Linked DNA regions of Yarrowia lipolytica. The protein of the gene in region 3 purifies or fractionates together with the protein of the main gene of each other region. This does not show direct contact. Links are inferred from orthologs where the notes say so. Each region holds a gene or a part of one and is shown on either strand. Other genes may lie near its edges.

Region 1 (3,756 bases), on a different chromosome or scaffold from region 3:
GGTCTGCACAGATCGCACCAGTCGAGCCATCTTTTCGTGGTAGGCGTCGTCCTTCTCTCGTCGTTCTCGGATCTTTTCTCGGGCCTCGAAGGCGGCGTCCTTTCGGATCTCCCGCAGCGCGCTCTTCTTCTCCTTCTTGAGCTCGGCTCGAAGTTTCTGGGTCTCCTGTAGCGCCATATCCGGGTTGTACGACTTTTTGTCCACGTTGAAGTTTTCCTCGAACTTGGGGGCCATGGTCTTGATGGCCAGGGGTCGGTGCTTGTGTAGAGTGAGAGGCTTTCGGTCAGCCAACTTGAACTTGGTGATTCGGCTATACTTGTCTGCAAGCTCGGGAATGTTCTCGCAGAACTCGAAAGTCTCAGGGAAGGCTGAAATGTCCTTGTATGTGTCCATGAGCTTGGAGACGGAAAACACGGCCTGGTTATGGAGCTCCTGAGATAGCGTGGCCACCTCCTTCTTGCTCAGAATGGATCGGTTGGCTGATCTCATTGAGATGGTCTTATCGGTAGACTTGTGGGAAGCCTTACCAGGAGTGAAACCCTTGATAGGAGCAATCTTGAAAAGAGAAGCCATGGGAAGAGAAGTCTCAGTGCCTTCCAGAGCAGCAATCAGACGGCCCAGGAAGACGGCAATCTCGGGAATGAACCGCTTGGCAATTCGCTGGTACTGGATCAACAGCTGGGCGGTGTACAGCCCGGCAATGCACTTGGGAATGGAGTCAAAGGTGGACAGAGACAGGAAACGGGTCATAACGAGCACCGCAGGCGTCACAACCAGGTGGAAATGATCGGACGTGGAGAAAATCATGCCAATCAAAGTCCACAGCATGAGATGACCGGCCGTAACTGTAGTGTCGGCCTGATGAGCCTCCAACTTCTTTCTGATGTGAGCAGCCATAGTAGGACTGTGAGTTTCCGCCAAAGTGTGCACTTTAGCGACGACTTCAGACAAACACTCAAAGTCGTCCTCCTCCTCTTCGTCGGCGAGGTACATGAGATGGTCGATGAGCACGCATGCAAACTTGGCTAGACGCTCTTTGTTGCCCTCCTTGAGCGAGGCGTGATGCAAAACGTTGATCCGGTCGATGATGGTGGGCAGCTGGTCCAGAGGGTAGGCCGATGTGGTCTCCAAGAACATCTTGTGTGATTTGGGGATGGGAAATGTGTATGCTAGAGTGGAGGAGGAAGACTTTGAGGCTGGCTCGGACTTTGTAGTCTCCTCCTCGCCAGATTCATCACCAGATTTATCGCCAGACTCATCTTCGTCTTCATCTACTTCATGAATCTCAACATCTTCATCATCATCATCTTCGGCCTCGTCTTCATCATCCTCACCCTCCTCCTCGGAATTCTCAAAGTCAAACGCCACATTGCCGTCCAGATCATCGCCTTCGCCCTGGTCAATGGCAACCTCGCCTCGCATTCGGGCCTGTCGCTCATCCTCCAGCTTCTTGAGCTTTTCAGCCTCCTCTTTGGCCAGCTCCTCGTCAGTCTTAGTTCTGTCCTGAGGCTTGGCTCGACGGTCCAGAATCATGTTTCGGAAGTTCTGGTCGTACTCCTTCTCCTTCTGGTCCAGAGCTGTCACCACCTTCTTGGCCTTGATAGATCCCAGCTCCCGGATCAGAGCATTCATGGTGTCCTCGTCGTTCATTTCCTCGATAATCGCCTGGTCCTTGTCACGAGCTGCCTGTCGCTCGGCCTTGTGGAACTTGGACTTGGCAATGATCTCCTTCATGACCTCCTCCTTGCTCTTCTTTCGGCCAGTGCCCGCCTCCTCCATATCAACTCCGTCCATCTCCTCCAGATTGACTCCCATAGCACCCATACCCCGCTCCTCTGCTAGCTTGCGTCGGTTGGCAAGAATGGCTGCCATCTCCTCGTCCTCCTCGGCCTCAATACCCAGATCGCCCTGATCAAAATCGTCCTTGAAATCAAGAGCCTGACCAGAGTGAGTCAGCATCATATCAGCGTCGGCGTCGTCATCGTCATCGTCAAGAGCGAAAATCGACTTGTTTCGACCACCACCCATCGACCGAAGCTGTCGCTCCCGCGTAAACCGCTCCAGCATTTTCTCCTCGGGATTCATGTTGGAGTCACCCTCTCCAAACCGCCGGTCAAACACTCCTCCAACCCGTCCCTTGTTTTGCAACTCCAGCTTTCGAGCCTCCATACGGGCTTCCTCGCCACTGAGCTTGGACAGTCCAGGTCGTCCCACACTGCCCCGTACGGTTCGGCCTCCAATATCATGCTTCTTCCTGGCCACCTTGACATCGAAAGGGTTGAACTGCTGCCGGATGTCAGACAGCACCTTGTCTCTGTCCTGGCGGTTTTTGCCGCTGTTCATCTTCTTTTTATTGCCCTTGACATTAGTCTGGCCCGTCAGATCGTTCTTCTTGAGCGTCTCCTTGAGCCGCTTGAGCTGACTCGTTTTGGCCATCGTTCACGGTGTTGTGGATTGTGGGTTGAAATCTGAGATGCTGACTTTGAAAATATCTTGAATAAGCTCGGGAAATATTTTAACCTTGCAGCTCATAACCTGTCTGAAAAATTTCGTGGAAAACATTTATCTGGACAATTTGGCCAGCTGAACACAACGGAGACTCCCCCCTTTGCCTACCACAGCTGTATCCTCCGCAAAACTCCACCCCAAGTCTCCCGGAATAAACTTCACGGGTTGGGGTAGCTAGCTACTCTAAAAAAGGTGAATGCTTGTTCCCCTCAAAATCCCAAAACCTGAAGGGAAGAGACAGGACAGACGCCCCAGACAAGTAAATGTGTGGGTAAATAGCACCAAAAAAGGCCACCCGCCAACACGGGACCATCCCAATGGCCGGGGGTCGCCCGCAAAAATGCGGTCACGTGACCGCAGCGGCCTCCTCGTTGCACCTGCTCTTGAGTGGTTACCCTCGGTTCGTCCCAACTGGGTAGGGCTTGATGCCGAACTGTATATCTGAGCACGCGGATGACAAAAAACTTGCACTGGATATACACTGTCGCTTTTGCTAGAACCAAAAACACCACACAAAATGCCTGTTGATCCCGCTAAGCTCGCAGCTCTCCAGAAGAAGTCCGGTGCCCAGTCCGGTGAGTATCTCTGAATTGGCGGCGTTGGATTTGTCCGAAACCGCTGCGTGGAAAAATGGACGGAAAAAATGGATACAAACGAGATCGAACTCATAAACGATCACATGGAAGGATGCGGGGTGGCCTTGATCGAGTTGGGATGACAATGATTGATCATCCTGTGAGCCATTCGCCCGTCAATACCCGTGTCCGGGTACGATCGCAACGTTTCTCAACGTACACGTACTAACCCAGGTGGAAAGGGTACTCCCCGACGACCCGGCAAGAAGGTTGCTGGCCGAAACATCTCTGAGGACGAGAAGAAGCTGTCCGCCACCCTCAAGAAGTTCAACGCCCAGGAGATCACCGGTATCTCTGAGGTCAACATGTTCAAGGAGGACGGCACCGTGCTGCACTTCCCCAAGGTCCACGTTGAGGGCTCCGTCGCCTCCAACACCTTTGCTATCTCTGGTCCTTCCCAGCAGAAGGACATTGCTGAGCTGATCCCTGATATCCTCCCCCAGATGGGCCAGGATGCTCTTCTGCAGCTGCAGCAGGCCGCCGTTCAGTTCTCCAAGCTCCAGGAGCAGGCAAAGAAGACTGCCGGCGGCCCTGACGCCGCCAAGGAGGCCGGTGACGACGAGATCCCCAACCTCGTTGAGAACTTTGAGGACAACGTCGAATAGATGTATTG
Region 2 (2,233 bases), about 1.4 Mb from region 3:
AACGCACGACTACAGTACAGTACAGTACACAACGGATAATGGTCCAGGCGTATTATGGAACATACCATTGGAACGAGCAGAGTTTTGCGATCAGTCTGACACCAATTCTGGGCTTGTTAGAGCATTTGGACGATGCTGAGGTTCAGACGAAAAACACCTCCGAACCTCGTCCCAACATTCAAGAACATCAAAACCCCACTCTTCTGAAAACTCTTCTGGAAACTGTACGTGGAGCTTTACTTCTACACTCTGTCACTATTAATATGCTCATAAATACTATATCCTTTCTATCAGTGTGTATGAACACACAGTATTGTGTTGAAGCCAGCCGGTGGACAGTCTGATGTCGAGTCAGCGTGAGAAAGGTGGTTCAGATAAAACCGACTCATTTTTTGACATTTTATCAAACTCCCTGTATTTCTGTAACTGCTTTCCAAAAGCTGTCATAACCGCACAAGTGCTGACAAGATATTACTTCCTCCAGCGATCAATAAGTCGTCCAGTAGGCCTTCATCGGCTCTTGTCCACTCAGACCTTCAGTCTTGCCACTTAAAGGTAATCCTTCTTATTGGCAGTTCGCATAAATCCATGCATTCTCCACTCGACATCGGCATCCTTGTTCTCCAGAGTGCCCAGTCTCAGGTCATAGAGTCTCATTTCAAACCGCGGTCCGACCTCAGCAAGCTCAACACCCTCCCGGGTTTTGACGTAGACATGCTGCCGGACACTGATAAAGTCGCCTCGGTTGGCAAATGTGATGACTCGAGCTGAGTCCTTCTTCACTCCGGGAGGAAACAGATGCTTCAAAATCTGCACAACTCGCTTACCCAGGTCGGTGGTGAAGTTGTCAAAGATGAGATGAGGGTGCACCTCGCTCATGTTGCCGGTATCGGGCAGATCGTGTCGAAGAACCACGTTATGAAGCGAAAAGTAGGCGGTGGGGCCATGGGGGAAATGGGACACCGTCATGGCAGTAGGCACACCTCGATGCTCGTGCAAAACAATGAGATCCGATGAAGCAGACGTCTTGCAAGCCGAAACCAGCGACGGCAACACGGTTCCTCCTCGGTTGAGCCGGATAGAAGTGGGGAACAGCAATTTCACCTCCTTGGCAAACTGAGACAGACGGGTCGACGGGTCTCGAGAAGTCGTCACCACCACCTTGGGATCGGTGATGCCACTCATGGCGCTATATTCGTCGTCAATCTCATCCTGCACAGACTCGTCGTACGCAATGGTCTTTCGAAGCTCTTCGTCGTCAGCCACGTCTTTGGGCAACGGCTTACCGGAGGCCAGCGCCGCCTTCAACTGCTGCCGCTTCTGGATCTTGGTCGCCTCCTGCAGCTGGAGCGACTTTCGGTAGAGATACTCTCGCCGTTCTCGGGCCTGTCTTCTGATCATGCTGGGCTTGTGGCGGTGATGTAAAGGTTGTGGGAAGACTGACAAAAAAAAAGATCTGTATGCATAATTCTTTTCCACGAAAAAGCTTAATCTGAAAACTTATTTCGATGGCCACAGGGATATCATGTGGCCAATAAAAAGCTATATGTGACACTTTAAGAAGTGAAAGGTCCCGGATAAAGATGTAAAATTCACCATTGTATCATTCTCCGCTTTCTCCGGTCAAATTATGAACAGTTTGGACCCATTTATTGCCATTTGTTGTGTTCAACTAACTGTTGGGAGTGCTTGTGAGATGTCTTCACTGTAGACCAAATGGCCTTCAATGTCAGGATATGCTGGCGAATGGTGGAAGCACCTCAAAAAGAATATATGTAAACTGGTGATTTTCCGGTCGATAGTTTCCTCTGATACTCCTCTACTTCTACAGAAACTTGCTTTCGAGAATTGTTGTGGCCCCGTCCAACACAATGACAATCGTTGTAATCCTTCCACCCAGTGACAATCAATGTAATTTTTCCATGGAAAACGAATTATACGGAGACAGTGATGATCAGAAAGACCTATCGGATTTGGGAGCTCCCAGGAATCAAAAAAGAGTACTACGAAAGTATTGTATAATTGACAGAATATTTCGCCAGGCTCCGGGTCTGACTTTTCCCGAACGGCTCAGATCCAACAGTTTGAACATGCTCTAGAATGCTGGATAAAAGAAGGGATTGTCACTTGAAGTGGAGAGACAGACTAAACATTCTATTTATCTTCTTTTCAATAATTCCGCTTCACCTCAAAACCTCTCCCTTCTCCGTTGCATCTCCGGCCAGAACCCACA
Region 3 (3,756 bases):
CCTCTTTCACGGCCTGGGAGCAGGACAAGGAGGACCTTACACACGCTGTAGCCGCAGCTTCTGCCTTCCAGCGAGCCTCCAAGCTGTACGAGAAGCAAACCAAGCAATTTGGCGAGGCTTCTTGCGACCCAGAGGTGGTGCAGCACATTCAGGAGATGTACGCCAAGCTGCCCTCCGATCTGGAGATTGAGGAGGACAAGAAGGAGGAGTATGACGATTCTTGGGAAAAGGAAATTGTTTACGAGGAGTAAATAGGATAGTTTTGATAGACTTATATGCTAAGATGAACATGGCGCAGAAGGAGGGTAGTCTGGGATCACCAACTGTTTGAGGAACGATCCAGAGTTCAGAAACGCCAAAACCGATGGCACGGGAAGAAAAGAAATGTCTGTAGCAGCAAAACAATATCATGTGGCATTTCTTTTGAGTAAGTATATCGCCACCAAGGGGCTTGTCTCCACTTCGTATTGAATCGTGTGCGTGTAGTGCCCAGCCTTGCAACAACAGTACTATCACCCTCCTTTTCTTCCCATAGGCAATTCTTATCATGTAAACGAGTTTATGGTCTGTAAAAGGTGGCTTCTGAGCATTCATCAATATCTCAAAAAATCTCCGCCTTGTCTACTAAAAGTGTGTGTCCTCTTCTACTACAAGTAGTACCAGTCCCGCCAGTCACCACTGGTGTAGAAAAACCGTGCATAAAGTTTTGCCAAAGTCTAAAAAAATATTGTAAGACGCACGGAGCGATATATCTCTGCCATCCATTTTCAGAACCACACAGTATGGGAAAACGAAGCAAAAGCAGCCGGTCCGGGCGAACCACGACCGCCGGCAAGGTGTTTTCGTCCAAGCGAGCCACGTCGTACAAAAACGAAACCGAGCCCTCCAAGCCCGTACCCAAGTCTCGAGGCAAGCATGCTCTGTTGAACGCCTTTGAAATCGCCGAGGCTGAGGAGCGAAAGAAGGCCCGTAAGAACGGGGAGGAGTACTCCGACGACTCCGAGGATCACGACATTGACGATGTTTACGATGACGGTATTGTTCGGTTCAACAAGGACGGAACTAGAAAGGTGTATCAGCCTGGCGATGAGGAGGAGGAGGAAGACGACTCGGAAATCGACTCTGACGAGGCGTTTGGCTCTGACGACGGCGACGAGGAGATTCTGGACTCTTTCGGCGTCAAGTCCAAGGCCAAGGCCAAGTTCAAGGCCATGGAGGACGAGTACGACTCTGTGGACGAGGAGGAGTTTGTGGATCTTTCCGAGGCCTGGGATCTGGACGATCGTCAGCAGGAGAACCTCAAGAAGAAGAGCGGTGAGAAGGCTGCCCAAAAGGAGGATGCAAAGAAGAGCTCAAAGACCAAGGCTACCACTTCTTTCAATCTTCAGGAGGAGGAGGATGACGAGTCACATGGAGATGATGAGTCTGAGGAGGGAGGATCTGAGCAGGAACAGGATGCGGATTCCGAGGACGTTTCTGACGGAGAGGAGATCGACTCTGATAACGACGACGATTCTGATGACGGTGACGACGACTCTGATGAGGAGGACTCGGACGGATCTGTCTTTTCCGATATCGATACCGAGTTTGATGAGGAGAAGGCCGACAAGCTTCGATCTCTCATTTCCAACATGTACGAGAACGACGAGGATGCTGAGTACGAGAAACGACGACGATACGAGAACAACAACCAAGAGGAAAATGAGTTTGGCGTGACAGTGTCGAAAAAGAACAATGATGGCAAGCTGTCTCTTTCGGACCTGACTTCAGGTGTGGACAAGAAGGCAGCTGCTAGTCTGTCTCTTCTTGGCAAGCCCGACGGCAAGTCCAAAAACAAGCCCCAACATGTGGCTGTGCCTCTCAGTAAACGTCTCCAGGACAAGGTGGAACGTAAGGCAGCTCTTGATCTGACGCGAGAGGAGCTGACCAAGTTCGACGACCTGATTGCCCAGGACGAGGATGCTGAGCATCTGGTTTTCCCCCGTCTTCCCGTCTACGACTCTGATGAGGAGGCCAAGCAGCTGCCCAACACCGGTATTTCTGCGCTGGCCCCCGAGAGTGCTATGGAGAAGAAGATTGCCGGTATCCTCAAGACTTCTGCTCTTGCCGACGAGTCGCAGGCACAAAAGTTTGAGGAGCTGGCCACCAAAAACATGTCTATGGAGGAGCTAGCTGCCCGACGAAACGAGCTTCGACGAATGCGAGAGCTAATGTTCCGAGAGGAGCAAAAGGCGCGGCGAATCAAGAAGATCAAGTCCAAAACGTACCGAAAGATCCACAAGCGAGAGCGAGAACGGCTCCGAGACGCCATGATGTCCGACGAGGAGAGTGACCAGGAGGACCACGACATCAAGCGAGCTCAGGAGCGAATGTCGCTCAAGCACAAGAACCAGGGCAAGTGGGCCAAGCGAATGGTATCGCAGGGTCTGACCAAGGATGCCGAGACTCGAGGAGAGATGGAGGAGATGCTTCGACGAGGTGAAAGTCTGCGAAAGAAGATGTCTGCTCGGGACGACAACGATGGCGACGAGCAGATTGACTCTAATCTGGGCGACGACCAGTTTCTGTCCCAGAACAGAGACGCTCTGGTTGATCCTGATGAGCCTGCTGAGGGAGCTAATCTGGGCAAGGGTCTGCTTGGCATGAAGTTCATGCGAGAGGCTGAGGCTCGTCAGAAGACGGAGAACCAGCAGCGAATCCAGGAGCTCGATCGAGCCAAGGCCAACTGGGAACTTGGGCAGAGTGACGACGAGGACGAAGGTCGAGTTGACACTGCCAACGAGATTCTCAACCAGGGTCGACGAAAGTACGCGCCCGGAACCAAACGGTCTATTGCCGATGTGCTTGCTGTCAAGATTGACTCTGAGCGAAAGGCTGATCTTCAGTCTGATGATGATGAGGATGATAATGACGACAGAGATAACGACAACGTGACTACTGTGGTCAAGAGCGACAAAAAGAAGGAAGGAGGTGCACAGGACGACGATTCTGATTCAGATGACGACGCCTCCAACCCCTGGTTCACCGAAACCAACATCCACAAGAGCAACAAGGTCAAGCCTGTGATGGAGGCTGAGGCTTCTGCACGAGACCGGCTGGCCCACAAGGTGGCCAAGCATCAGAGCCGGGTGGTGGAGAGTGCGAAGAGCAAAAAGGCCCGCAAGCAAGATAACATTCTCATTGACACTTCCGATACTCTTGATCTCGTGACTCAGGATCGAGAGGCCGACACTGACAAGGGTATCTCTTTCAAGCAGGATATGATCAAGCGGGCCTTTGCAGGAGACGATATCGTCGAGGAAGAGTTCATGGCCGAAAAGAGACAGCGAATCGCCGACGAAGGAGATCAGGAAATCGACATGACCCTGCCCGGGTGGGGAGGCTGGGGAGGAGAGGGCATGAAGGCGCCCAAGAAGCGGTTTGTCAAGAAGATCCAGGGTGTGGCCGTCGAGAAGCGTCAGGATCGAGATCTCAAGAACGTGATCATTTCGGAAAAGTCGGACAAAAAGTCGGACAAGTACCAGGTCAAGTCGGTCCCCTATCCCTTCGAGTCTGTCGAGCAGTACGAGGCCTACCTCAAGATGCCCATGGGCCAGCAGTGGACCACGGAGACTACCCACCAGAAGCTCATCAAGCCCCGAGTCATTGTCAAGCCCGGAGCTATCATCAACCCTCTGGATGCTCCTCAAAAGTAGTGTCCTTCATTCTAAAATCTCGTCAGCCATATATAGAGGCTTGGTATATATTTAAGTGTTA

Evidence for each region.
Region 1: the proteins of YALI1_D16656g (region 3) and YALI1_F11781g purify together in Saccharomyces cerevisiae (affinity purification with mass spectrometry, with the first as the bait; 3 studies listed by BioGRID). This does not show direct contact. The link is inferred for Yarrowia lipolytica from reciprocal best matches to the Saccharomyces cerevisiae genes UTP14 and NOP14.
Region 2: the proteins of YALI1_D16656g (region 3) and YALI1_D30922g purify together in Saccharomyces cerevisiae (affinity purification with western blotting; 4 studies listed by BioGRID, with this or other methods). This does not show direct contact. The link is inferred for Yarrowia lipolytica from reciprocal best matches to the Saccharomyces cerevisiae genes UTP14 and IMP4.

What each region holds. Positions count from the first base shown.
Region 1 is NC_090775.1:1,175,710-1,179,465, forward strand, and holds the start of YALI1_F11781g (uncharacterized protein), read right to left. Parts: upstream 2,437-3,756; coding exon 1-2,436. Other genes in the region: YALI1_F11787g (uncharacterized protein), read left to right, coding at 3,026-3,083, 3,318-3,748. UniProt on the Saccharomyces cerevisiae protein: Involved in nucleolar processing of pre-18S ribosomal RNA. Has a role in the nuclear export of 40S pre-ribosomal subunit to the cytoplasm.
Region 2 is NC_090773.1:3,090,800-3,093,032, forward strand, and holds YALI1_D30922g (uncharacterized protein), read right to left. Parts: upstream 1,402-2,233; coding exon 550-1,401; downstream 1-549. UniProt on the Saccharomyces cerevisiae protein: Required for the early cleavages at sites A0, A1 and A2 during 18S ribosomal pre-RNA processing.
Region 3 is NC_090773.1:1,662,686-1,666,441, reverse strand, and holds YALI1_D16656g (uncharacterized protein), read left to right. Parts: upstream 1-782; coding exon 783-3,695; downstream 3,696-3,756. Other genes in the region: YALI1_D16672g (uncharacterized protein), read left to right, coding at 1-251. UniProt on the Saccharomyces cerevisiae protein: Involved in nucleolar processing of pre-18S ribosomal RNA.